Linked DNA regions of Caenorhabditis elegans. The protein of the gene in region 1 purifies or fractionates together with the protein of each later gene. This does not show direct contact. Each region holds a gene or a part of one and is shown on either strand. Other genes may lie near its edges. The genes, in order: lro-1 and spp-5.

Region 1 (13,276 bases):
AGGTGGAGGATTTTCCAGAAGAAATTGCCCATCACGCCAAACTAATGATGGAGCACTTATATTTCGAAGAGTTTGAGCTAAACCGCCTAAGCACTCAACTAAGCCAAGTGAGAACTGGGTACTCTAGCTGGCCAAGTAAAGAGTAAGTTGGCATCTTGTATACACTGTATTAACTATATTTTACAGAGGAACGCCTTCATTGTCTTTGAATAATTGCAAGGATCATGTCTATGCATTTCACTCCAATTTCTGCACTGTTCGAGCCGATATTCTTGAGAAGGTCAATGGTGATACAACTTCCTTTGAAGATAGAATGGAATTTGCAAACTATCCGGGCTACGAAATCGTTTGTATATCACACAAAGTGATTGACGAGAAGAAATGCGTGCCTTCAATTGCGGAAATTAATCACGAGTTTGCGGTTGCTTTCAAAGAAGCGTTCGGTACTCGGATTATTGACGATTTCAGTTTTAACGAAATGGCTTACCAATTTGCGGAAATTGTCAACGCTGAAATTGATTTCAACAACCTTCGCAAGAAGTACAAATACCAGAAAGGATCTACAGCGACCGCGAAGAAAATGATAAGTGAAATTATGGAGTTCTACATGGATTACATAAAGAAACGTACAAACCATTTCGATCTGCCTGAACCACCACTGGCCCGACGCCAAGATCCGAACTGTAACCCGTACAGTGACGAAGAATACGACACTGAGTTGGAAGATGAAGACGACGAGGTGGATGGAGATCAAAACACTGGAGAGAATTTGTTGAGCAAGATGTTTGGAGAAGTTTCTCTGGGAGCCGTTTCTATTGGATCTGAGAATGATACTGAAGTCGAGGACCCAACTACACTGGTTATCGAAGATCGCGATCAAGTACCCGATGATATGGTCGATGAGTTCATTCACGGCGTCTTTCATGTAAATCTTGGGATGATTCCGGATTTGTCTGCATCATTATACAATTTGCCACTTGATTAAACATGTTTCAAATTGGAAAACCAGTAATTTAGTTAATCATAACTTATTCTCATCTTTCTCTCTCCTTCATGCTGTGCAATCATTCCCTTGCCTCTCTCGAAATGATCTTTTACAGTAAAAATCATCTTTATTGATTTTGTTCAGGTTTTTTTCTAAAGTGAATTGTCATCTGATTACTAGTTTTACTGTTAATTCAATACTGTTTTTCTATGTGCACCCGTTACCCCAGTTTAATCTATCCCGTCCTGTTCAGCTCTTTTTAATAAAAAGAATTGTGCGGAATTTAATTTAAATTATGTATTTTCTTAAAGCATGGCCTTATTCCCATTTATATATCGATTCGTTTATATTTTTGAACTTTCGTTTTTGTATGCTTCATTCAGTTTTAAAATAGGATAGGTTATTTCAGGTAGTAATGACTCCAGAAGATGCTCAAGCAGCATCCAGTCCTGATCCCTCAAATGGAGTGAGACCAGAGGAACAGGCATTTAGTTTGTAAGTTTTTTTGTAAAGTTTCATGTTAAAAAACATCCCTTTTAAGCTGTGATCTGATTTTTTTGCGTAATTTTCACTTAATATCTTGTCGAATTGTTTCAAAAACTGTTTTTTTTTAGAAGTTGAAAATTGTCTTGAAAATTTGTAGCGTTTTGAAAACTTTCTGAAAAAAACCCGGGAAGTTTAGCTTCTCATGGCAAATCTTAAAAAAATTGTTTTTTTGAGCAATTATACTTTTGGAAATAATGATAAATTGCAGTGAGAGCATTTCCGATCAAAATTTTCTATGAGATGTAAAAAAATAAAATAAAATAGATATTTATTCACATCAAAAGACACCCATTATATGTACCAATTTTCAGAAATTTGATCAACCAAGATATTTTTATCCATGAAGAAATTCGCCGAATTGATACCGTCGTCGGATTGAGCTGCACAATGAGCAACTTGGAAAAGAATTGCAGGGATAGCCAGAGACTGGCCCGATTCATGAAGCCAAACAGTTTTGAGGAAGTTCCAAAATTTGAAACTGTGGATGAATTTCAAGACTATTTCAAGATATCGATTTTGGAGAGAAGGGCGAGTTGCTGAGCACAAAGCCAATATTTTGATTGGAAAATAAATTGAACATCATTTCAGGTCACATTTGATCAATGTCTTTTCATAAGCAAAAACTATGCCGAAAAACGAGCTCAACTCGCTGATAACATTCAAAATCTTACTGATGATTTGTGGTCCAAAGTTCCTGAGCTCAACAAACGACTGGACTATGCGAATTATGTCAATTTTCTGATCACTTACACAGAGATGTTTCATTGGATTGGCACTGTCATGGAAACCGAATATCAGAACGGAATTCATTCGTTTATTCCCTGCCAATTGATTGACATCTTTCATGACTACTTTGAAACAGTTCAAAAAGCTCATAACAACGGGATCGCAGATATTTCAAACTTTTCGTTTCTTCTCTACATTCGTGACCGCATTGTTGACGCTCTACGGGACCATTTCAGCATCGTGACGCCAATGCGTCAGAAGAAGAAAATAGTTGAGCCTCCTCAGGAAATTTCTGATAGATATAATCCGTTTGACTATGAGTGGCTGAGCGGAACAGTTGTCTCTGGAAAGTATGTTGCATAAAAACTATATAAAGGTTAACTTTTATTAAAACATTTTTCAGATATCACTTTCCATTCATGAAATTTCTCGCTATTGACAGAATGCAGCAGCTTGAACTTTCCTACTATCGTGCTGTCATTGTAGCTTCTAAACGAAAGGAAGAACTTGGCTTTTTGAAGAATCTCCGAATTCCATTCCCACAATCAGCTGACAACGCGAACTTGCTTGACAAAGCACTTCAAACCAACGAGACAAAGCTTCGCCAAGACTTTTGCAGGATTTTGAAAATCTTGAAGAAAGAGAGAGGCCTTGACAAGACAAGGGCAGTATTGTATATCCAGAAGATGGAGCAATTTAACGAGTTGTGTGGTGTTGTGCGAAATAAGAAGAAGAGCACCATGGATCAAATCACTCATTGTGAACCTTTCAACATTAAACCAAAGCTTCGTTTTATTGCGGTCATGGCTTCGATTGACGCATTGTTGCTTGTTATTCAGAGAGTTTATGCTCTATTCGTTGACAAGGAAAAAGGAATATATGGCGAATGCGTGCCAGAATCGGTGAGAATAATGGGTTCATGAGGTGAATTTTGTTTCAAATTTTAGGTATTACTCACAGCGGCACAACTTCTCAAAATCACGACAGTGGAGCGTTGCCGAAATGACGACATGGACAAGGAAATCTCTGGAAAACTTGAAGTTCTTCGAGTCAAAGTACACAATGCCGTCAAAAATTTCTACATTAAGAAAGAGTCTATCAACCACGGCGTTTTTGTCGAACCGGATCACGATGAAGCTGCATTGAAAAAAATCAGATTTGAGTTGACCATTTCGGAAAACGAATTCCCTCCCATTGTGATGCACCATGCTTCTCGAATGTTGTGGCATCTGAGACAACAAAAAAAGGAGTTGAAACGTTTGAATAAGGAAATTCATTTCGCAAAAGCTGCCGAACTTTTATGGCCAAAGATAGAGTAAGTTATTTTTCATCGGAGATAGGATATTAAAAGAGGAGGATAGGTTCTGGATTTTTTGGTTGCACAGATAGGCAGATGATTCAAAAAACCAAAATCAACTAGTTTCAAAATTGCATTTCTCACAAATATCTGAAAAAATTAAATGGCCTAAATTAAGCTAATATCTCCTTTTGCCAAATTTCCCGCGTCACAACTGTCCGAATTTTGCTTGTATTAAGTTATCCTTCATTATTGCATACTTTGGGCGTTTATCTCAAGTTATTTAAAGCATTTAAAACCGATGGGTATCCAAAAAGTACCAAAACTGGATTCCAATCGGCATTGTATGTACTTTAATTTACAAAATATAGTGAGAAATACACCCAAAATATGCAATGAAAGATGATAAAACAAAAAAATCAAATTCGCTCGTCTGCAACACGGAAAATGTTTTTATTTGAGCACATTTTGTTTCTAAAATACCCAGAACTAATACTCCTCTTTTCATCGGTGTTAGAATAATAATAATAATTGAATGTTAATGGAATTTTTTTTCAGTGGAGTCATGTTCCAGCTGAACAAAGTACCTGGAATCTGTGCCTTCGTTTCAAACTTTGACGATCATGTTGATCGAGAAAAAGTGAAGGAAGTAATTGCCGCATCAGAACTCGACTGGATGAACCCTGAGCCAGAGTTTCGTGCGGGTGTCGAAATTATCAACGGAATTCATCATATCATGGACAAGTATCGCGGCGTACCACACTGCGTTGAGATCCGAGCAACATTGGAAGCAGAGTTCCACGCAGAAATGCATTTTCAACGCATCAATGGGCAGACTTACAAACAACTTGCGGCTCAGTTCTCGCAGATTCTCATTCAAGAAATTGATCTCACAAATTCTAGAATCAGATATCAAACTAAAATGCAAACAGCTTACCTTGCTCACAGAATTGCCAGAATGATGGCTGGGACTTACATGGATTATGTGTGTAACAACATGAAGAACCCGCCGTCTAGATGCCGTGTAAGAACTCCAACACCAATTCCAGAAGACGATCTTCCAGAAGACACAGCTGAAGGCTCCGAAGAGGGTAGAGAATCTGAAGAGACTGGCTCGGAAACCGGATCGGATTACGCAACAGATGAAGGACCAAATGTCGGACGTCGTCGGGTTAGACGAAATGTAGAATTGGAAAGCGATGATGATGATGAAGATGAAGAGGAAGATGAAGAAGAGGAGGACGGCGTTGAGCGTCAATTTGATCCCGAGGAGGCCGCCAGAGTTGCATTCCTTCTCAATACGTTTTCTATGAATGGAAATGTCATCTTCGTGGAGAATGAAGGTGACGTAGAAGACGATCGCGTTCCAGATGACGTGATTGATAACTTCATTCGCAATGTTCGCAGAGTGCACATGGAGCCGGATATGTCTGCACCATATTTGAATATCCCACTTGATTAATATCTTTTTTCGCTGATTGAATATCATTTTGTTTTTGTTCTACATTCTTTTGTTTCCTCAAAATCTCATCACAACGTATTTCATGCTCAAAAAATTTACCATAATTCCCCACGAAATTTGTAGACGTATAATTTTATCGGATACCACATTTCCAAACTCATCATACACCCCCATCTTCAAATGTGTCTAATTTTATATTGTCCGGTTAGGCTTATTGAAACCAAAGACCTAGTGAGCTTTTTATTATCATTTCCTCTTTTGTTCCATACTCTTTCCCATTGTTTCATGACAACATCCATTGGTCAACGTTCCAAAGTGTTTGGCGCACTGAAGTACGATTTACGAATCAAGTTTTTGGTACCCCAAAAATGATTTGTTATTACTTTGAAATAGAATGCAAAAATAAATTTATTACGTCGGAAATTCATAAATTCAGATGTTTATTACTAATTCTTGTTACTAATTCTTGATCAGTTTGGAAATGTGGAGTTATATTGAAAGTTGAATATTCTGACTGTAAAATATTTTACAAGTCTCGAATTAGAACTAATTCACATGACACGTTTATTTTTAGTTCGAATGGATATTAAGAAAAGTTAAAATAAGTCAGTTTTCGATCTGAAATAAGCAGTTCATTTAGGATTAGCAAGATTAGTTTTCAATAATTTATTGACTTCAAGTAATTTATGTCAAAATTTTTCTTATGTTTTCAGTGTATCAACATATTCACATTTTTTCACATTGTGCAAACTTAAAACTGGTGAATTAAAGTTAACAGGCTTCAACTCGCGTGCCAAGTTTCGGAATGTTTTGTTTGAACCTGAAAAGTGCTGCAACTGCTAATGTAATTTCATTAGTAATTTCGGCAATTTGGGCCCGAAAATGAGCATTGCCGAAAATATAAAGTTTCAAAATTTCTGAAGATTTTAAATCGAATAGATGTTTTTTATATCAGAATGCTCAGTATTCAAGTTCAAATGTCTCAAACCTCAAATTAATAGGTAATTTTTGAAATAGCAAACGGTATCCAACATCCAACAATTACGGCCTTTGTCATGCACTTTTTAGAAATGAGCAAATGCAAAACTTTTCAAAAATTGATTTGAAATTTCCTATTTGCACAACAAGCTCAAAATTATATTGACATAAATTCCAAGTTTGTATCACGAGCATGCTCATTATGAAAGACACCAATTTCAGATCAATCTTATGATTCTAATTGTCATTGTGTTTATTTGCTCGTTCTCCATCATCAACAACATACTGGGCGGACGTTAATTTGTAGCCAACTATCAGTCAATTGATAAGATACCCCACACAATTGGTGGCTCTTTTCTTTTTGTCTGACAGTTGAACAGTCACTCTGGGTTTTTCTTTTTACAATTTGATAAGTTCTGTATTGATTTTTATCATTAACATTTTAGAATGAGAACATTCTCAGTTGCACTGCTGCTTGTCTTTTTTGCGTCGAGCGTTTCATCCGTTCGCTACTACTCCCTTGCTGACACCTTCCAGTCAGTAATTGATACGGAAAAGGCATTGGAAGAAGAACTGAGAGTTAATTTTGAAAATGCGAGAGCAGCAAGAGACAAATACCGGGAAGAGACTCAGAAGAAACTGAACGAAACGCTTTCAAAGGTATCTGATGCAGTTAAGCAGAGAGCCGATGAATTGGAAAAGGAGAAACAGGTCACAAATCAAAATTTAAATATCAGTTTTCTTATGATTTTTTTCAGGAAAAAGCTGAAGCCAAGAAAAAGGAAGCCGAAGCAGCGATCGAGAAATGGAAGGAGGTTTCTCAACAAGTTGGAGAATTCGTCGAGTCAGTTAAGGAAAAGAAACAAGCCAAGGAGCAAGAAAAACAACAGGTTACTATTTAAATTTTAAATTTTTTGGATTATTATTTCAGAAAATTGATGATTTTGTGAAAACTTTTACGGACAAAATCAAGCAAAAACAAGAAGAAAAAGAAGCACAGAGGCAGGAGCAAATTGAGGTATAAATCACAATTTATTTAAAAAATTGAAATAAGAATTTGAAGTAATGACGCTTTATTTGTATTAAGATATTACTAACTACTACTTGGTTTTTCTTTATAAATGCTCATCTTATTCTAGAAATGGAAGCAAGCCTCTGAGAAGCTTCAACAACAAAGAGAAGAGTTGAAGCAACAAATCGATGCAGCCAAACAAAAGCTTGATGAAAGAAGAAAACAGAAACTGGAGGAATTGAAAACCGATTTGGCTCAAGTCAAAGAGCTGGTAACTGCTGAGGTGAAGCGTCGCGTTGACGAGAAAAATCAACGGCTTGGCGAACAAAGAGAAAATCATGAAGCTTTAAAGCAACAGATCAATGTGAGTTTTTGGCAATGTCTTCCAACTGATTTCCCATCTTGATTTCAGGATAAACTTGCTGATATTGAGCAGCAGGGGAAGAATGTTGGTGATCAGGCAAAAACATATGAGCAGAAGAAGGATGAACTTTCGGATCTTATTCAGGTAATTTAGGGATTTTAATGTCTTCATGCAATTTTTGATATCAGGATCTAATCGGGCAAGGTGTTAAGGATAAGATGGCCAACCAAATTTCGGACAAGCTTCAGGGTCAACTTGACAAGGCAGCCTTGAAAGAAGTTTTGAACGAGAAGAAAGTTGAACAAGCTGGAGCCCCACCACCGGTTAATGAGATCCCCGTTGATATTGCTCCGAAAGCAACAATTCTTGACGAGTTAGTTACTTACTATTAGCATCGAGAAATACCTAAATCACGATTTTCAGAATCACCGGAAAAGCTGCATGGGAGACTGTAACCTGGGTTCTTCTTGCTCTGTGCATCCTTCTTTCAATCGCCTTAATCATTATCATTGTTTATCAAGTCAAACAACGCTCTGTCTACGAACGGCTCGACGGCAACAACCAGGTTTACAATCCAACATCAGAAAGAGCCCCACTTCTTCCACCACCAGCAACTCCAATAACTGCTCTACCACTGGCTCCTGCCAAAGAAGAACAGCAGTTTTAAACTTTGTTCGATAACCATGTGATTGTATTATAAAATTGTTTGCACATTGTTTTGCCATTTTTCACGTATAAATTTTTTGATTGATCCTGGTTATTATTAAAAACAAAACAAATTAAGGGAGCCTGTTAGTGTTAAAATTTGGGAACCAAAAATTATAATGCCACGTCAACTTCAAACATTTTCAAAAAACGAAATAAATAATTTCAAGAATACATATGTATTGAAAATTAAGAAGGGAACCAATTTTCTAAACAATCTCAACGGAAGTTTTTAATGAAAGTTTTGATTTTGGAATGTTTTAAAGGCAATGCACGTTGCCGTATGCACGTTGTTTAAACTCATTTACATTAATCTTACATGCAGCGAAAAAAACGCATTGAAAAAATTCAAAACATTTTTGGTGGGATGACAAATTTTAAAACAAAATTTCCGTTTTTCAAAAAACTTTTGTCGAATTCCAAAGGTTTAATATTTGCAAACCGAATAACTGCCACATTCCATCTGTAAATTTAAACAATTCAGAACATTTCTGAAAAGTTTCTCGAATTTCTCATTGGTGCTGCTTTACCTTTGCCATTATTAACTCGTCAAATTACAAAATAACTTCCGCAATCGGAGACTTGAGACTTGACAGCCGAAAACCAAATTCGATTATAACTGAACTGTACGATTTTGGTTATAGTTTGTATTTTTTTTTGTACTTTAATGACGTAAATTATCGTCATATTATTCTGCTCGATGAGCAGTTCCCAAGCATGTGATCAGTCTGTTTAAGAAATCATAGAAACATTAAGAAATCACTACAAACTAGATGATAGACATCTAAAAATATAATCAGTTGTGACTTGTGGTTGCCCTTTTATTATTATGATTATTATGGATTGTTGCACGTTGAATAAAATGACTGAAACAATATGTAATTTGAACTCGAAAATACGTTCAGAGGGATCTTTTTTTCAGAAGCATTGTAGGTAGATTTTGTAATACTTAGAAACCTATTAGCATTTGAGTATAGTTTTTTATATCTACTTGTTTCACCATCTTAAAATTCATTTTTGATTATTTCAATAGAACACATGTTATATCCTCTATTAGTTTTACTGTCTCTATTAGTTGTGCACCCCTATTAGCCTTGCACCCTTACAAGCCAATCGAAAATTAGTCTTGCAGCCTCTATCAGTATTGTAGTCTCTATTAGTCTTGCGCCCCTACGGACAAATTGAAAATTAGTATTGCAAGACTAAAAGTCTATGCAAGACTAAAAGAAAAAATACGGTAAGCTTTATCTGGAAATACTAGCGCTTAAATTTTTTTAAACCTTTTTTTTTTTCGTGTAAATAAGTTTTGTTCCATTTTATTGTTCCCTAAAATTGAAAAGATTTCAATTTCGACATACAAGGTCGATAACGTTCTTGATCACGTCAGACTTTGACATAGCTATTTGTAAAAACAGTTCCAATTACTCGATTCTTGGTATTCCTATGTAGTAGTACTACTCGTCAAACAAATTCTTCTTCCGACATGAGAAACATAAATTCGGAACGACTTCTGTGGCCTTGCCTTCTATTTTTCCATTTTCTGAGTACGATGCATCTTTTTTTGTTCTTGATATCAGTTCTATTTGACGGCCACCGTCTTAGTTTTTGTCTTGTGTTGGGCATTTGCAAAAACTACGAAAAACTATCAACGATGGAATGAAAGAAAAAAGAAATAACATTTCCTTCACTCTAACACAACTTCGGTTTCCCTTGTTTTAAAAGATGAGTGACCGACAGCCAATGAAAGCGGGTAGTAGACAGAAACAACTTACGGTGTTTGATTTACTCAAAAATAAATCAGATCACACCGAAACACAGATTCATGAAACTTGGTTAATTCTGATAGTTGAATCTAAACGTAACCTTGAAAAATGATTGAAACCCTTTTTTATGGGTGGCGGATACTAGGGTTGTAACGGAGGTATGTAATAACAGGAAGTTAACCGTTTTCTTGCCTGTGATCGTCATCAAGGCAATCTTCAATATTACAAGAAATAACTGATAGATCTCATTTGTAGAATAAACGTTCAAATGTATGTATACTGTGAAAAAGAGATATTGCAAGTAATCTATCAATCTGCAAATATTAAAAATCAGAAATTAGAAATTTCAAATCGAAGAATTTCTGGAAGATATTTGAAAAAGTTCAACTGATTTCAAAACGAGAAAATTTGTATACTTGTCATTCTAATATTTTATACATGTCATGTCTTATGCAATGTATGCAATGTGTTTGCAATGTATTTACAATCGTTACGAAAATTGACTTAATAGTATTTCCAATTTCAGAATTTCAGACTGGAAATGTTTGTTCTGAAAGGATAAAAACGGTCCCGACAAGCCCATCACCAGAAGCCTTTCTTTGAGCATAAAAAGTATAATTTCTCATTCACAGAAAAATGCTGAACTGGCCAAAAAAAAATTTTTGATGAGCAAAAGCACATGCAGTACATGTTTTAAACAGTTGTTCGGTTTATTTCGATTTTTGGTTGAGTTTTCCAACTTTATTCGCTTATTCAAAAATGTAGAGGATGGGTTCGATTTCGCAGTTTCATATCGAAATTTATAAATTTCCAACAAAAATTGCATAATCAAAATTTGCCGATTTTGCCAAAAAAATATTTGCCCATTACCGCTAAGTTAATTTGCTCAGAAAACGTGAAAAAGGTTAAATTTTGTTACATAGGTCCACAAAATATTTATTCTAATGTGTAGTTTCGTCAATTTGAAAGATGATTTTTTGAAAAACAAATTGATCTTCTATTACCCTCTATATTTTAATAATATATTTCCACATTCCAAACTTCTTCCCTCTATACTACCGATCTTTGAAGATAACAACAAAACTTGAATTTGAAAATGTCTGAAAAAAAGGTTTTAGTTCACATTTATCAATTTTAATGTGAAAGTCTGAATTATTTATGCATTCGAATATTAATCACCAAAATAATCGCACTTTTTGAACGCCCACACAAGTTCCTGCGACAATATTGTTGCTTGTGATCGATTGGACCTAATGGCCCATTAATTGGTTTGCATTGTTGTTTCTTCCACCAAAAAAATCTGCCAGGACCGGCCCCGTGTGAAATGATTGCAAATGATGGGCTGATCGCTTTCGCTCGTCAACTCCTTGTTTGAATTTTCTAATGAGAGGGAAGGATTCTATGAATAATGTATGACGTTGGGTTTCTCTTGTCATACTTGAAAGGTTATTCCTTCTTTGAGTTTTGTTGTCAAGTTAAACCACAAAAGACACAGATTACATTCCCAAGCCAGGGCAAAATGAACAATAAAGGATATTTTTTATCTGTGTTTCGTTCCCAGAAATAAAAACGATATCCCACTGAGTTTTCTTGCAGAAAACACACACGTTTGACATTGAAATGTGAAACGGAATATAAATGAGCTGAAAGACCAAAGAATGCGGAGATAATGGATTTTCCTTTTTTATCGCTAAGAAAAATTAATTCCTCGAAATGTCATCTTGATTACACAACATTGAAATTCTTGTGTGTATTTTGTTTGTTGTGATTGTTTTTGGGGCACTTGTTTATTTAATGATGGACTACTGTTGTAAGAATTGGATACGGGCATTAAAGTTAAAACATCGTTCACTGTTTATTTTCTGTCTTCGGCTAGCAAGTTGACCAACCTTGGTACCAATTACATCAAAGCTAGTAGTACCTCCCCAACAACTGTCACATAAAAACGTAAACATGATTACGGGCACTGCCGACCTTGGAGGAGGCAGTGAATTAAGATCGAGATAGACAACTGCATATTTGAATTTGACTTGTATGGGTACAAATGTTGATAAAATCAGGTCATTGACGTTTTAAGGTTTAAATGAATGAACAAATTGTTGAAAATCAGGTTAACTAGGTGACTTCTGTGCCAGGATGGAAAACTTGGAATTTGAGTTTTTGAGCTTTGGTTTGAAAGTTGATAAATGAATCAATACACTGTTTAATATCTTGAAAACTGAAAAAGTTATCATTGGAGAGAATACATATTTTTTAAAGATTGAGATATGTTGTTTAAGTGTACTTTAATGAGTTCCACAATGAGATACGAAAAATATGTTAAATTTCCAAAGTGGTAATTACTCAGTTTTTACCAATCGTGATTCTGGAAGTCCACCAAGAAAAAATTATTCTACGAGCTTTCCCTATACCTGCAACAATTACCGTAATTATTTAATAATTTGATAATTTATATCAAAACGTTGACTAGAAAAATCTAAACGTTTTTACAGTGTTCAACTATGATTTTTGATTATTTTGAACAATTAAATGTGTATTAATACACCTTAAGTGGGTTTAAAATCAATTATCAAACTACACTCAAAATCGGAAAGAAAAACTTGACTTGCTTTTGTATTACAACTTCCATTGGAACTTCCATTGTACAGATTTCCATTGGAGCCATCTTCTAACAATACTGTATTTATGACTGCATATGTTATACATGTTTACAGCGCTTTCTGGAAAATTGGAAAATAGGTGCCAGCAAGTGGAAACAAGTGAAAGCTCTTTTTGGCGATGGGAAGAAGACACCGCGAGGGATGTTATTTTTTCTTCCGTTTTTTTTTACTCATTTGCTTTCTTTACCATTCACATTCACTGTGTGTTTCCTTATTTATTCGATACATGAGCGTCCACATTTCCTCCTTTCACAAAATGATAATTAGACGTCAAACGGCACTACCACCAGGCAACCCAAAAAAACTGTGTAAGAAACGGGCTTTTGTGTGATGAGTCGAGTGTGGCAGAGAGGAAAATAGAAAACAATGAAGAAGCCGCCTGGGCGCACGGCTTTTTCTTTGAATATTCGACCTTTCGCAGATTTTGTGATTTATCGTTTTCCACTTTTGAGGGATTGTGTTACAACAGTTTTTTCTGGCTTCTCATCTCCTTGCACTATTGAATAAAAATGAGGAAATTTGAATGTTGAAAAGAATAAATGTATTCGTCGCAGGAAGTGTAGCGTCAATGGCATTCTTCTCCAACGGAACACTTTTTTGAGATGCGATGACGTTGATCGCGTTACTGAATAATTTCTGAAAAGTGTTTTCCCAGCTGAAGCTAGAAAGCGAATTCACCACCTTTTAAAATTCAACGGAAAAGAGACAATGATCTGTTAATCCCTAAGTGTTCGCTTCTCACAAAAGCTTCTACCCCAAGACCAAACCGTTCGCACTT
Region 2 (11,998 bases), 1.0 Mb from region 1:
CATATACACATCCAGTGAAGAAAAGAAAGATAGAGGCACTCTCTGCTCGCCGAGAAGGAGAAGACGACGCCGAAAGCGAAGATGAAGAAGTAGCGGGGAAAAAGAAGACGAAGGACGGAGCCACTCTTCATGCCCACAACTTTGCGCAGAAGGCTCCCCTCCCAGTGCGACCATGAAGGGAAAGCGTAAAAAAAAACGACAGACGGCGAAAAGCAGAGCAAAGGGTCCTCCTGTAGTAAAAGAAGCCAGTCGATTTGGAAGCACTTTTCAACGAATTCTTTCTTCCGGAAGTTGAAAGTCTCTGGTGCAATGAAAAGAGAGGGATAAAAGGAAGTTTCATTAATAACATATGAATTCTAAAAAGATGATTCATTAGAACATCTAAATCTAGCTTGTCCGCAGGCAGCATTAAATTCATTAAAGACTTGTTCATTAAATCACCGTGGAGACAAATTTAGTGAATGCATACTGAATTATTAATGAAAATTGAATGAGGAAACCGACTATGGAACGATGAAAAGTGAGCTCAAACCAATGAATATTCAATAACCGGCGTAGATATGGGAAATTTTGCGGTTTCGGAGAGAAATGATTTGGTCAAGAACAAGAACGCTTATGTGAAAAATTGAAAAACGCGGCATATTTGTTATTAAATTACGTCTATTGAATTGATCAGTAACTGAGCTGGAAACAGAGAATCAATCATGAAAAATATAACTTTTTATAAACAATTGCATAGAATACTGACCTGCTAAGCAATTTGAAAACATTATGGTGCCTGCATTAAATGTGTAATTGTAAAAAATTGTACTGCTGCAAACAACTCAAAACGATCCAAACCCTTTCAGTTTTCGATATTACTTTTTGACAATTTAAACATATATGAAGCCTTTTCTTCAAAAAAGAAAAAAAAACTTCACTAATCCACCTTTCATTTTGTGTACTGCTTAATATTAATAGTTTTCATTCAGTGGAAAATAAAAGTTTTTAAACATTTGAAACAAACCTGAATGAAATTTTTTTAAAACCTAAACGTTAACCTAAAATTGAGTTTAAAGAAAAATTGAATCTAAAGAAAATGTTTGTTTTCAGTTAGAACATGACGTATCTTGAAAAAACAAGCATCAGATGAAAAAAGGAACAACTTCACTAATTAAAAGGAAGGAAATATGCCAGAATAGTGCAGGAAACAACAGACTTATTTATTCAGAAAAAATATTAGTCTTTGCAAAAAAAGTCAAGCAAAAAAATGTTTAGTAGAAGTAATTAAAATTCAACGGAAGATGATGTACAGGGCATGCATTTCCCTAAACAGGAACACGCTCTGGTACCTTAGGATTTTAAATTTTCGACATTCACTACTTACGGAAACAAAACTTTAAAAATTCCAATGAATCGAAAACGTCGTTGGAAATTTAAACAAAAAAATAATTAAAAGTTTTAGCCGTACCGCTAAGTTTGGAACAATTTTGAAACATGATTTTCTTTAATTTCCATGCTTAGGTTTTTTCTAGATCTGGAATGCAATACAACTCAATATGTTGATTACATTATCAATTTATATAGAAGTGAATGAAAATTTTGTTCAAAAGTTTTTTTTTTAACTTTACAGTGTTTATCAATCATCAAGAATAATTTGAGTTGCTTCTTTTTTGTTAGTCGCTGCTCAATACTTTGAACAAGCTTAGATAATTAACAATTAATGTTCAATTACTATTTCATATTCAAAAAAATTTAATGGAGAATTTTGATGGAATGGAGAATATTGGGAAAACTGATGGGGTAACTTCAAATATGAATTATTTAATAAATTATTTTGGGCTATTTGTGTAAAATATAATGTTGTATTTGATATTTGTTTTAATATTTGTTAACGTTTTAAGCAATTTCCATATGCATCGCAAATGATATTGTAGTCTGCAGCTCATAAAATTTGGAATTTCAGTAAACAACCTTGATTTTAAGAAATTTCTAAGCTTCAATAATTCTTGTTTTTTGTGTAGTTTTTTTGTTTAAAGCCAATTAAAACATTAAGCTTTCAACACTATTATAATGATAACTATAAAACTTTTGATCAAAGTGCTAAGAAACAAAATTGAAGTTCAAAACACCAAGTGTTTGCACATTCTGAAAAATGGTTTTATTTACTAGGGAATGGTCAGCTTAGGGGTGAGGTACCTAGAGACGCCACATATGCCAAACGGAAGCTGAGATCATTGGCTACAAGAATATGCTTTCAAATTCTGCAACGGACCTCTGGGAGTCTGGAAATTCTTGTCTGAAATTATGCTTTTGAATGCTCGAAAGTGGTAAGAATTTAGAATTTATTACAGAAAACGTTTAATTAATAAAATTAGTTTTATACTTGAAACAAGTACTGTATGCACTGTATCAAAACACATTTTCATCTTTTCTAGGTATTCAACTTCACGTTTTTCTGTAATAAATTCTAAATTCTTACCACTTTCGAGCATTCAAAAGCATAATTTCAGACAAGAATTTCCAGACTCCCAGAGGTCCGTTGCAGAATTTGAAAGCATATTCTTGTAGCCAATGATCTCAGCTTCCGTTTGGCATATGTGGCGTCTCTAGGTACCTCACCCCTAAGCTGACCATTCCCTAGTTAGTGAATTCGTTTTTATACTCAGGTAAAATTTGCGGCACACGTAAATTTATTTAAAGTTCTTGATAATTTTTGGTTTTTGTAAATGAAAAGCATAGTTCAAAAATTAACGTTCATTTTTAGAATGGCTTCCCTAATAGGCTTTTCATCCCTAAATAAATTGCGTCCCCATTAGTATTGTAATCAAAATAACCAATTGAAAATAGTTTTTCCTGCAATACTAATAGGGAAAATACGGTATTTATCTTTGCGACGTAATTTTTACTTGATCTGAGTTACTGGTCAGCACAATTTGGTTTCCTTGTGTAATTATTCCCATAGAAACTCCGCACAGCTTCCCAGCTTACGTAAGACACACGAGTTATTTTTTCCCAGAGAAATAATAACTTTTCAAATCACGAGAGAGTGAGTGATGTTGGTTTATATCATTTCACCAAACGCTTTGTTGCATTATGAACTTGACACTCCAAAACAACGAGTAAATATTTTTTGTTCAAAATATTCCCTCTGTTTGTGAAAAGAAAAAGTGTGTATGAGGATCGAATCATCGGTTTATCAACTGTTTCCCATCTGTTCTCGTCTATTCTCAGCATCCCCTCGTTCTGACACTCGTGTCCCCTTCTCTCACATTAGTTTGTCTGGCCTCTACTGTCCTCATTTATTGTCTATTTCTAATGATGCTACGCGGGAGAAAACACACCAAATTTTTGTGAATGCTCGGTTGAATCTACATAGCATTAGTCAATTCATCGAAATTTGACACTAATATATTGCTCTCCAGTTTGCTTTTGAGAAACGTTTATGTTTTCCTTGTACCAAAATCAAAACTTGAACATTCGATACTATTTTGAGGAAAAATGTTTTGGAGGTATGGGGAATTGAACCCCAGCCCTCTCCCATGCTAAGGGAGCGCTCTACCACTGAGCTATACCCCCTGACAAACGTTGGCATTTGATTAGCACTCATGTCACGGCCGCTAATTTATATTTTCCCACTGATAACGATTGTGTCCATTCACGAAAGGTGATCATTGGTTGACTAGAAATCAAACCTTTTCATTTGCCCAGCCACTCATAGTAATTATAATAATAACAAAACTATGTCTGGAAAAGGAAATGGTGTTTCATTCACCTACTCGAATCACGTTTCCGATTTTTTTTTTAATTTGAAGTTCATATACGTTAGTCTGCAATCACGTTGGAAACGATTTTGAGCATTTCGTAATACTTCATTAGCTTTTGAACGATTCTTTTGAAATTTTTGAAAGCAGCATTACATTAATAAAAAATTCAATTTTAAATTCGAAATAAAATTTCACTTCTATCCTCAGGACCCACTTTATCTTCATGAATCATGTTTAGCATATCTTTCCGAATGATCAGTCAATCCACGAAGCGTGAACAAACATCAGATACAAAATGAGTGAAGTGGCAGAATTAATAATGACGCAGAGTTATTCAGGATGTTTTTTTCAGCGTTTTGCTCATTTTAATTTTGACTACTAAGGGTCGAAACATTAATATTTCAAAACAAGGTCATTAAAATTATATGTAAGTATCATGCTGTAATGTTTTATATTGTAATTTTTCCACCTGCTTGGTTTAAAAATTCTTTAGGGTTAGAACAACTTTACTTACTTTTTAGTTTTCACTATCCTAACTTAATTCTTCTAAATTTAAAAAAAACAAGCACTGTGAAGTTTCAGAACAAAAACCTTACTCGTCTTGTTGATATTCAATGCTTAAGAATTAATTAAAAACGTTCAAAAACCAATGCGATAACTCTCATTCACAAGTACTAATCCCTTTTCATGCAAAACTCATTCATCTTTGCTCATTCTTCACATCAGTCATTAACATGAACTTTAAAAAGTCTGAATTTTGTTCTATCTAGTATTTTTTTTTTAATGTCAATGTATTCACATCTAACATCAGCTCCAATTGCAGTTTCGTTCCAGCACGTGATTTTCAGAGATGCAGATCCGGATTAGAAACATAAAAAACGCTTCTTAAACTGCCCCAGCGATATTGCTCTCTTGAACTATTAGTTTATTAGTCGCTCAGTGTGTGTGAAAATCAAACCCCATTCATCAATTTTCGTTCCGACTTTATGATGCATAAAAGTCACTTTTATAAAACGCGACTTTGGCAAAGATCTCCATGGTTTCATTTATATGTAAACTTCTGCTCTGTGCCTTTTTTGTTGTTTTTTTTTTAATTTTTGATCTGTGCAATGCAAAAAAGTAAGTTCTCTTTTTACCATCTCAAATTTCAGTCAAAATGCCAATGCCACTTCGGTTTCTTGAATCCTCACGGCCAAGCGTCAGCACTGCACCAATTCCAGTAGACAATATTACCGACCCACATGCCAGACGAACAGCAGAACTCGTAATTTTCGAATCAGAATTATTTGAACTTTAAAAACAGTTTTTCAGAGAAACGCAGAACTGGAAAAGCTTCAAAAAGCGAAGGAGCTCGAGCAACGAACTAGGGTTGAATGTCAACAGGCTCTTGACCAATACGATGTACTGAAAAAAATCCCAACATTGACGGAACAAGAACGGAAAGAAAACGAGACGCTCACCAAAAAGAAAATAGCTAAAGCCATTATTGCTGCACAAAAAGCTTCTCAAGCTGTGATGGATGCACGTGTAATTATGGGAGCCAAAGGCGAGGAACTGACAAAGTGAAAATAATTGATTTGTCTGTTAAAATTTCTAAATTATTGAAATTTTATAATTAATAGGTCTCAATCTGATGCAGTCTTTCCATATGAACATTGTTGCATTGTCTTAATTCTGACATGGTCTTGGTACATTGTCTGTCCAACATTTCAAAGCAAAATATCATTATTTGGGAAAATCTTTAAAAGCATTTATATGTTGTTAAAATGACCCAATATCAAAACGCAAAACGTTAGAAAAAAATTATCTATGAGCAGTTAGTTCGATGATATTGGTTGAAAACTCAGTTAAATATGACTATACTTTTGTAAGTCGGCCAAAACATGTTTTTTTGAATTTTCGCCAATTTTTAACCATGTTTTAAATAGTTGTCATTGACCAATATAGAAATTTTAAACCTGCTGCATCGCTTCCATTTTTTTTTCAAAAAATTTACTTAAAAAAGGCCAGTTACCAAAACTTCGATTGAAAATTTTGAATTCCCTATTCACAATGGGAGATCAGAAGCAAAGACAAGGAAATGAAAAATTATATCAACACTTTTCCCATAGGGAGTGAATTAATTTTGACTCTTAAAGCTAGACAATGTGCGAATATTTTGAATGTTACCACATGATAAGTTTTTTGTTAGAGTTATGCGATATTGAGTCATAAATCGGTTATAATATCATACAAAGGATCTTAGGTTTCTAGGGAAGTTAATAGAAACAGTCTATGCGGGAAAATCTGAAACGGAATGAATAACCTCACGTTCAAAGATATAGTTGCAAAAAAATATTAAATGTTGTTTCAAACCGCTCCGAATACAAATGCCACAAGTCCTTTCATAATTTTCAGAAACAATAAAGTTTTATCTAAAACTAATCCATTGCCTCGAACCTCTCGGTAAATCTAGTGGACACTATTTTGTTAAACAACTTTTACTTACTATGAATCTAAACTTATTTGATGACTATTTTTGCAGTCTTACAAAATTGAATAAGTTGAACAACATTATTTTTCCAGATGAACATCAGAGCGGAATAAAACACTGAAACGTTGTGGAAACTAAATACTACCGCCGAAACAGTAATATATTTCTGGAAAAAAATAAACACCTACTTCTCTTACTTTGTGGTATTTTTACTCGAAAACAGTTATATATTCAAAATATAGTTTCATTAATTTTTTAAATTCATGTTTATGTCGTGGCGTGGCAATAATACTAAATGTTTATATTAACTTGAAAGTTCGCAAAAAATTGATCATAAACGAGTTTATATTTGTACATTACCTACTCGTTCTATCCAAAGAAAGTTTAAATATATTTACAAATAACAACGTAAGTTGACGTTATTCTAAATGTCATACATCTGGATCGTTAAAAAACAGTTATCATGCATTGCAACATAGTATAAATGTTTAGTACATTCCTGCAAGCCGGACAATTTTCCTATTTATCACGAGTTTAATGCATATGTTGTCGATCTGTAACCTTTTTTCTATTCCATACATTATGCTCTCCGCTTTCGACGCTGCTTCTTATCAAATGGTCAAGTAATCAAAATTGGGAAGTTTTTGCTATAAATGCGCCCCTATCACCGCGTGCTCTTTCAATTCTTCCTTGCGTTTTGATGCTTCAGTGTTTCATTTCAATTTATTTTATTACAGAATGAAGACTCTTCTTGTACTAGCCGTTTTGGTCGCCGTTGCCTCAGGACTTGCCATCCCAGAAAATAGAAGCGCATTGAGCTGTCAAATGTGTGAGTTGGTTGTCAAGAAATACGAAGGATCCGCCGATAAGGATGCCAATGTCATCAAGAAGGTAATAAATCCGTGCTAGAAAAAAACCAACAACTCTTGAATATTCTAGGATTTCGATGCTGAATGCAAGAAGCTTTTCCACACCATCCCATTCGGAACCAGAGAATGCGATCATTACGTCAACAGCAAGGTAGACCCAATCATTCACGAGCTGGAAGGAGGAACCGCTCCAAAGGATGTGTGCACCAAGCTTAACGAATGCCCATAAACGGATCATTGAAATTTTTACTTGTTTGAAACTTTTACCAATAAATTTTCGATTTTTAAAAGTTTCAACCAGAATTTTGATAAATATAGAATAATTGTGACCAGAAATGTATTGGACCTTATTTTTTAGAAAGGGCCTCAAGTCTAATAACGAATCATAATAGTACTGATAAGGACTGTAATCCAAAAAGCTTCAATCCAGGAGAGTGGGGAACAATTGAAAAAATGTGTATCATTATGATTTTAGAGTTTGGAACTTGCCCGGTCTGCACACCATGTACACGTGACTGTTATTGCTTGAAACGCTGAAAGCTCGTTGCAAGCTTTTCTTGAGTTTCTAGAATTATCTTGAAGCTTGAAAGCTTTTCGCGCACAATTATTGATTGAACAGCGAAAAATGAGTACACTTTTTTCAAAACCTTTGATACTTTTTTGACACATTAGGAGTTTGGTTTGATAAGTTTTCTTTGTGAAATTGTCCTGCCCTGGACACCTAATTTTTACAGATAACAACATACAATTTCAGGGAAGTGCCGCGTCTTGATGATTTGCAATATATAATACCTGTAACTTTTTCACAATTATCGAAACTGTGATCACGTGAAATCACATAATATTCCGTTTATCTACGGATACAACAGAAAATTAAGTTCAATAGATCAAAAAGTCATCGAATTCCTTCAAAAAGACAGAGGGAGTCTGAAAAAAATTTGTTTAATGTAGGAAGTCGTATGCATAATACATTTGTTCACGTAATTGAGCAGAAAATAATTTATGTTTTTTTCCGTAATTCAAAACTAGTCACAAATCACACGGGTTTACACTAACGTGAATTTTTAATTTTTGTTTTATAGCAAATTATGTGATTTGTTACAAAGTTGAAAACTCCGAAATTAAATTTAAAATATTTTTCTGAAAAGCGGGATGAAAGGAGAAATAGGAAAACGGTATACGTACTTGCAGTAAATGTAAATGGGAACTAAAAATGTACCCGCATTGCTTCTGACGTACTCCGTTCTATAAACTGTTTTCCTCCGGTTGTACCGGCAATTGTTCCGGCAATCAAACTAAAATCGACAACGATCAAAAACATAATTCCCATTTGAATACGCTGCTTATCAGAAAACGAGATAATCAGGCTTGAGTGCCGATATAAAATAACCTGCGTCACACGTGCCAGATAGATAATTTAGATTATTTTCAATTCCTAATTTCATTCAAGCAGTTTCATTTTGCAGTATGAAGACTCTTCTTGTGCTAGCCGTTTTGGTTTTCGTAGCCACCGCCGTCGTGCTTCCACACCAAAGAAATTCCCTGGGATGTCAAATGTGCGAGCTTGCCGTCAAGAAGTACGACGGCTCCGTTGACAAGGATGTAAATGGTATCAAGAAGGTCAGGATTTTATTATATACTTTTTGCTACTAGAATGACATCATCATGTAGTGTTTCTCAGATAAATTAGCAACTATATAGAATAGGAAGTTTTTTCCAGGACTTTGACACCGAGTGCAAGAAACTGTTCCACTCTATTCCATTTGCCCCACAAGAATGTGAACACTATGTAAACACCAAGCTTGACCCCATTATCAAGGAGCTCGAAAGCGGAACTGCTCCAAAGGATGTGTGCACAAAGCTCCACGAATGCCCATAAACATTGACGTGTTATAATTGAACCGGAGAACTTATTTTTAAACAATTTAATAAATCAGTTTTAGAGAGGTTTTTGGCTGATAGCGCCAGCCAACAGCCGACTGACAAATGTTCGTTGCTTTTCGGCTCGTGAACATTTTTAACAAACTAACAAATTTTGAAGAAATTTGCTAGATTTGCCTAACTTTATTGGCTGGCTGTACTAGTCGACACCCGAAAAATCAGTCAGCCGCACACGCCTGATTGACACTTATTCTAACATGAAATTTATTGGACAATGAAAATGAAAACGCGAGGAGCTTTACCTATGAACAAAAGTTAATAAATTTTTGATTTTTTTTTGGTACAAACCCGCCTAAATAATTTTAGGTTTTTAACATCATTTTTTGCTTTTTTTTGCAACAATTCGTGAAAAAAAAATTTATTTAGTATTGCACTCCCTATCAGTCTTGCACTCCCTATTATTATTGCAAACCGGGAAGATCATTCGAAAAATAGTATTGCAGCCATATTAATAGAAGAAATACGGTAATTAAATACTTGCGATTAAAAAAAAATTTTGATAAAAACCTTGTTATCTCTACATTGAGTGAAGCTTAAAATCAATAAATAACTTCAGATTGATTGAAATTTTGCATGCTTTATTCAGTACCAATTTTCAGTTTTGAAATGGCATAAAAGTTTATGAACACTCGCCAAGTTTTGTGCAAACATCTTTTGGAGATGTTCCACTTTCGAGCTCCTGAAATAATAGTTCTTCATATTTCATCATTAAAATATGTTCTACTTACTTTAATGATTGGATCCAGCTTTTTATCGACGTAATGCTCACACTCTCGTGGCGCAAACTGAATCGAGTGGAATGCCTTTTTACATTTTGCATCGAAATCCTTTTTGATGTCGTTGGTGTCTTTGTCAGCATCTCCATCGGCACTTTTCACCGCAAGTTTGCACATCTCGCAGTCTAAGGCATTGCGTTGTCTCAACCCAGTCATACAAGTCATACAAAGATCACGGAAGTCACGGTTTTTTACGGAAAATCATGCTTTTTTGCAGTCAGATAAGAATATTGAAAAGTGATATATTTATTATTGTTTATTGAAATATCTCATTTTCAATTCAAAACCAAATAGGAAAATGTGTTACACATAGATTATCTATATATCTGATGTGTTTCAACCCTTCAAAATTTCGCAGAAACTTTCATCATAATATTTTATCGCACACTTTCAAACAGGACAATATAATAGTTAACGAAGTCACGCATTTTTGATACACGGAACAATTTATCAGTAGCCACAAATCATGAACATTTGAATAGAACTTATTAAATGATAGTGAGGGACCGAAATTCAGCATCAAAGTGAATGTAAACTTGGTGTTTCAGTTATGATTCTCCGAAACACAAGACCTCGTGATCACTAAATATTGTTTAAGCTACATTTTGATTTTGTAATCATAATGCCGTATTATCTTGAAAACTAACCAATCATAAACAATCAGGAATTTAAATCCGCTATTCACGTGATTCGCTCAACAGTATAAAAGTTAAGTTGTCGTTGCATCAATTTGAACTTCTCTGTTCAAACAGTGTGTATAGTATGAAGACTGTACTTGTGCTTGCTGCTGTTGCAGCCGTTGCTCTCTGCGTTGTTCTTCCAAAAGAAAGAAGCTCGTTGGGATGCCAAATGTGTGAACTTGCTGTGAAGACTTATGATGGATCTGCGGATAAGGACGTGACAAGTATCAAGAAAGATTTCGACACCGAGTGCAAGAAACTTTTCCACGCGATTCCATTTGCTCCACAGGAGTGTGAACATTATGTGAACGAGAAGCTGGACCCTATCATCAAGGTAATTATTCAAATATTTGTAACAAGTCTGAGTAGATTTCAGTTCATCCGACTAGTCTATATTAACAACCTTTAAGATTTATCTTTAGTATTATGATATAAATAAACAGCATACTTTCACTTTTCCTAAATTTGAACAATTTGGAGTACAGCTATTTGCGGTGGAACAAGCTTGACATTTTAACCAAAATTTTAAAGAACCGAGAATTATTTCTAAAATGTGTTTTATTACATACTTACGTTATGTCAGATTTTTAAAGTATAATCAGACCAAATCCTCACTAACGATACTTTTACATTTAAATTACCTCCCAATTAAAAAATATGTTTCAGGAGCTTGAAAGCGGAACTGCACCAAAGGATGTGTGCAAGAAACTTGGAGAATGTCCAAAGTAATGGATATACAATTATGTTTTGATTGATGTACGATTATGTAATAAATATAATTTTTATAATAAATGAAATTTTTTCAATTGGCAATAAATATTTTCAGTATTATTTCTAATTTTCCTAATTTCCGAAGTAATTATTTTCAATCGCGGATTTGAAACATAAGTTGACAACAAAACATACACATAAATAATAAAAGTAATAGTTTTAGGTTCGCATCTTGCTTAATTAGTTAGTTAGATTTAGTTAGACTTGATCTATATGCATGAAAAAAATTATATCGGCAAAAAACGTTACAAAAGGTAAATTAGGAAAAAGTAGTACGAGTTTGATTAGTTAAGTTAAAACTTTTCAGCAATATTTTGAGTACCTTTTTAAGTGTTGTCTTTTACGTAACCACAAATACCAAAATTTTGATCTCCTATATATATAAATACTATTAATTGATACTATCCACAACAGTTTTACTGTATGTTTGTACTCTGACCTATTTTCTTATTGGTTTGCTCTTTCAATATCAAGACTGTCGTAAAACACATCCGTGATCAAATGGAATAGCAAAACGTTTCTTATCAAACAATTGCCGAGTGAGCTCATTTTTTCCACGAGGGTTTGGTCATAATGATAAGTGGTTTTCAGTAGTCTTCATGTGTTATAAAATTAAATCATCATTACAAATTATCATCATTTTTAATTTCTTTTCAATATTTTTCATGTAATATCCAATTTAACTATTTATAATTTTTCAGAACTATGAAAACTTATATCCTTCTTGCCGCCGTTACTCTTG

What was found.
Region 2: the proteins of lro-1 (region 1) and spp-5 fractionate together in Caenorhabditis elegans (co-fractionation; one large-scale study listed by BioGRID). This does not show direct contact.

Annotation. Positions count from the first base shown.
Region 1 is NC_003284.9:6,265,649-6,278,924, forward strand, and holds lro-1 (Lysosome-Related Organelle protein), read left to right. Parts: upstream 1-6,440; 5' UTR 6,441-6,441; coding exon 6,442-6,705; intron 6,706-6,752; coding exon 6,753-6,884; intron 6,885-6,925; coding exon 6,926-7,012; intron 7,013-7,133; coding exon 7,134-7,370; intron 7,371-7,418; coding exon 7,419-7,514; intron 7,515-7,558; coding exon 7,559-7,743; intron 7,744-7,793; coding exon 7,794-8,037; 3' UTR 8,038-8,120; downstream 8,121-13,276. Other genes in the region: W05H9.4 (ANK_REP_REGION domain-containing protein), read left to right, coding at 1-142, 187-985; W05H9.2 (Dynein heavy chain 7, axonemal), read left to right, coding at 1,401-1,480, 1,843-2,059, 2,120-2,607, 2,661-3,159, 3,205-3,572, 4,113-5,016.
Region 2 is NC_003284.9:7,315,313-7,327,310, reverse strand, and holds spp-5 (Saposin B-type domain-containing protein), read left to right. Parts: upstream 1-6,956; 5' UTR 6,957-6,957; coding exon 6,958-7,110; intron 7,111-7,158; coding exon 7,159-7,317; 3' UTR 7,318-7,374; downstream 7,375-11,998. Other genes in the region: T08A9.13 (uncharacterized protein), read left to right, coding at 4,903-5,010, 5,058-5,312; spp-4 (Saposin B-type domain-containing protein), read left to right, coding at 8,556-8,708, 8,809-8,967; spp-6 (Saposin B-type domain-containing protein), read right to left, coding at 9,649-9,708, 9,758-9,970; spp-2 (Saposin B-type domain-containing protein), read left to right, coding at 10,568-10,819, 11,152-11,214; spp-3 (Saposin B-type domain-containing protein), read left to right, coding at 11,962-11,998.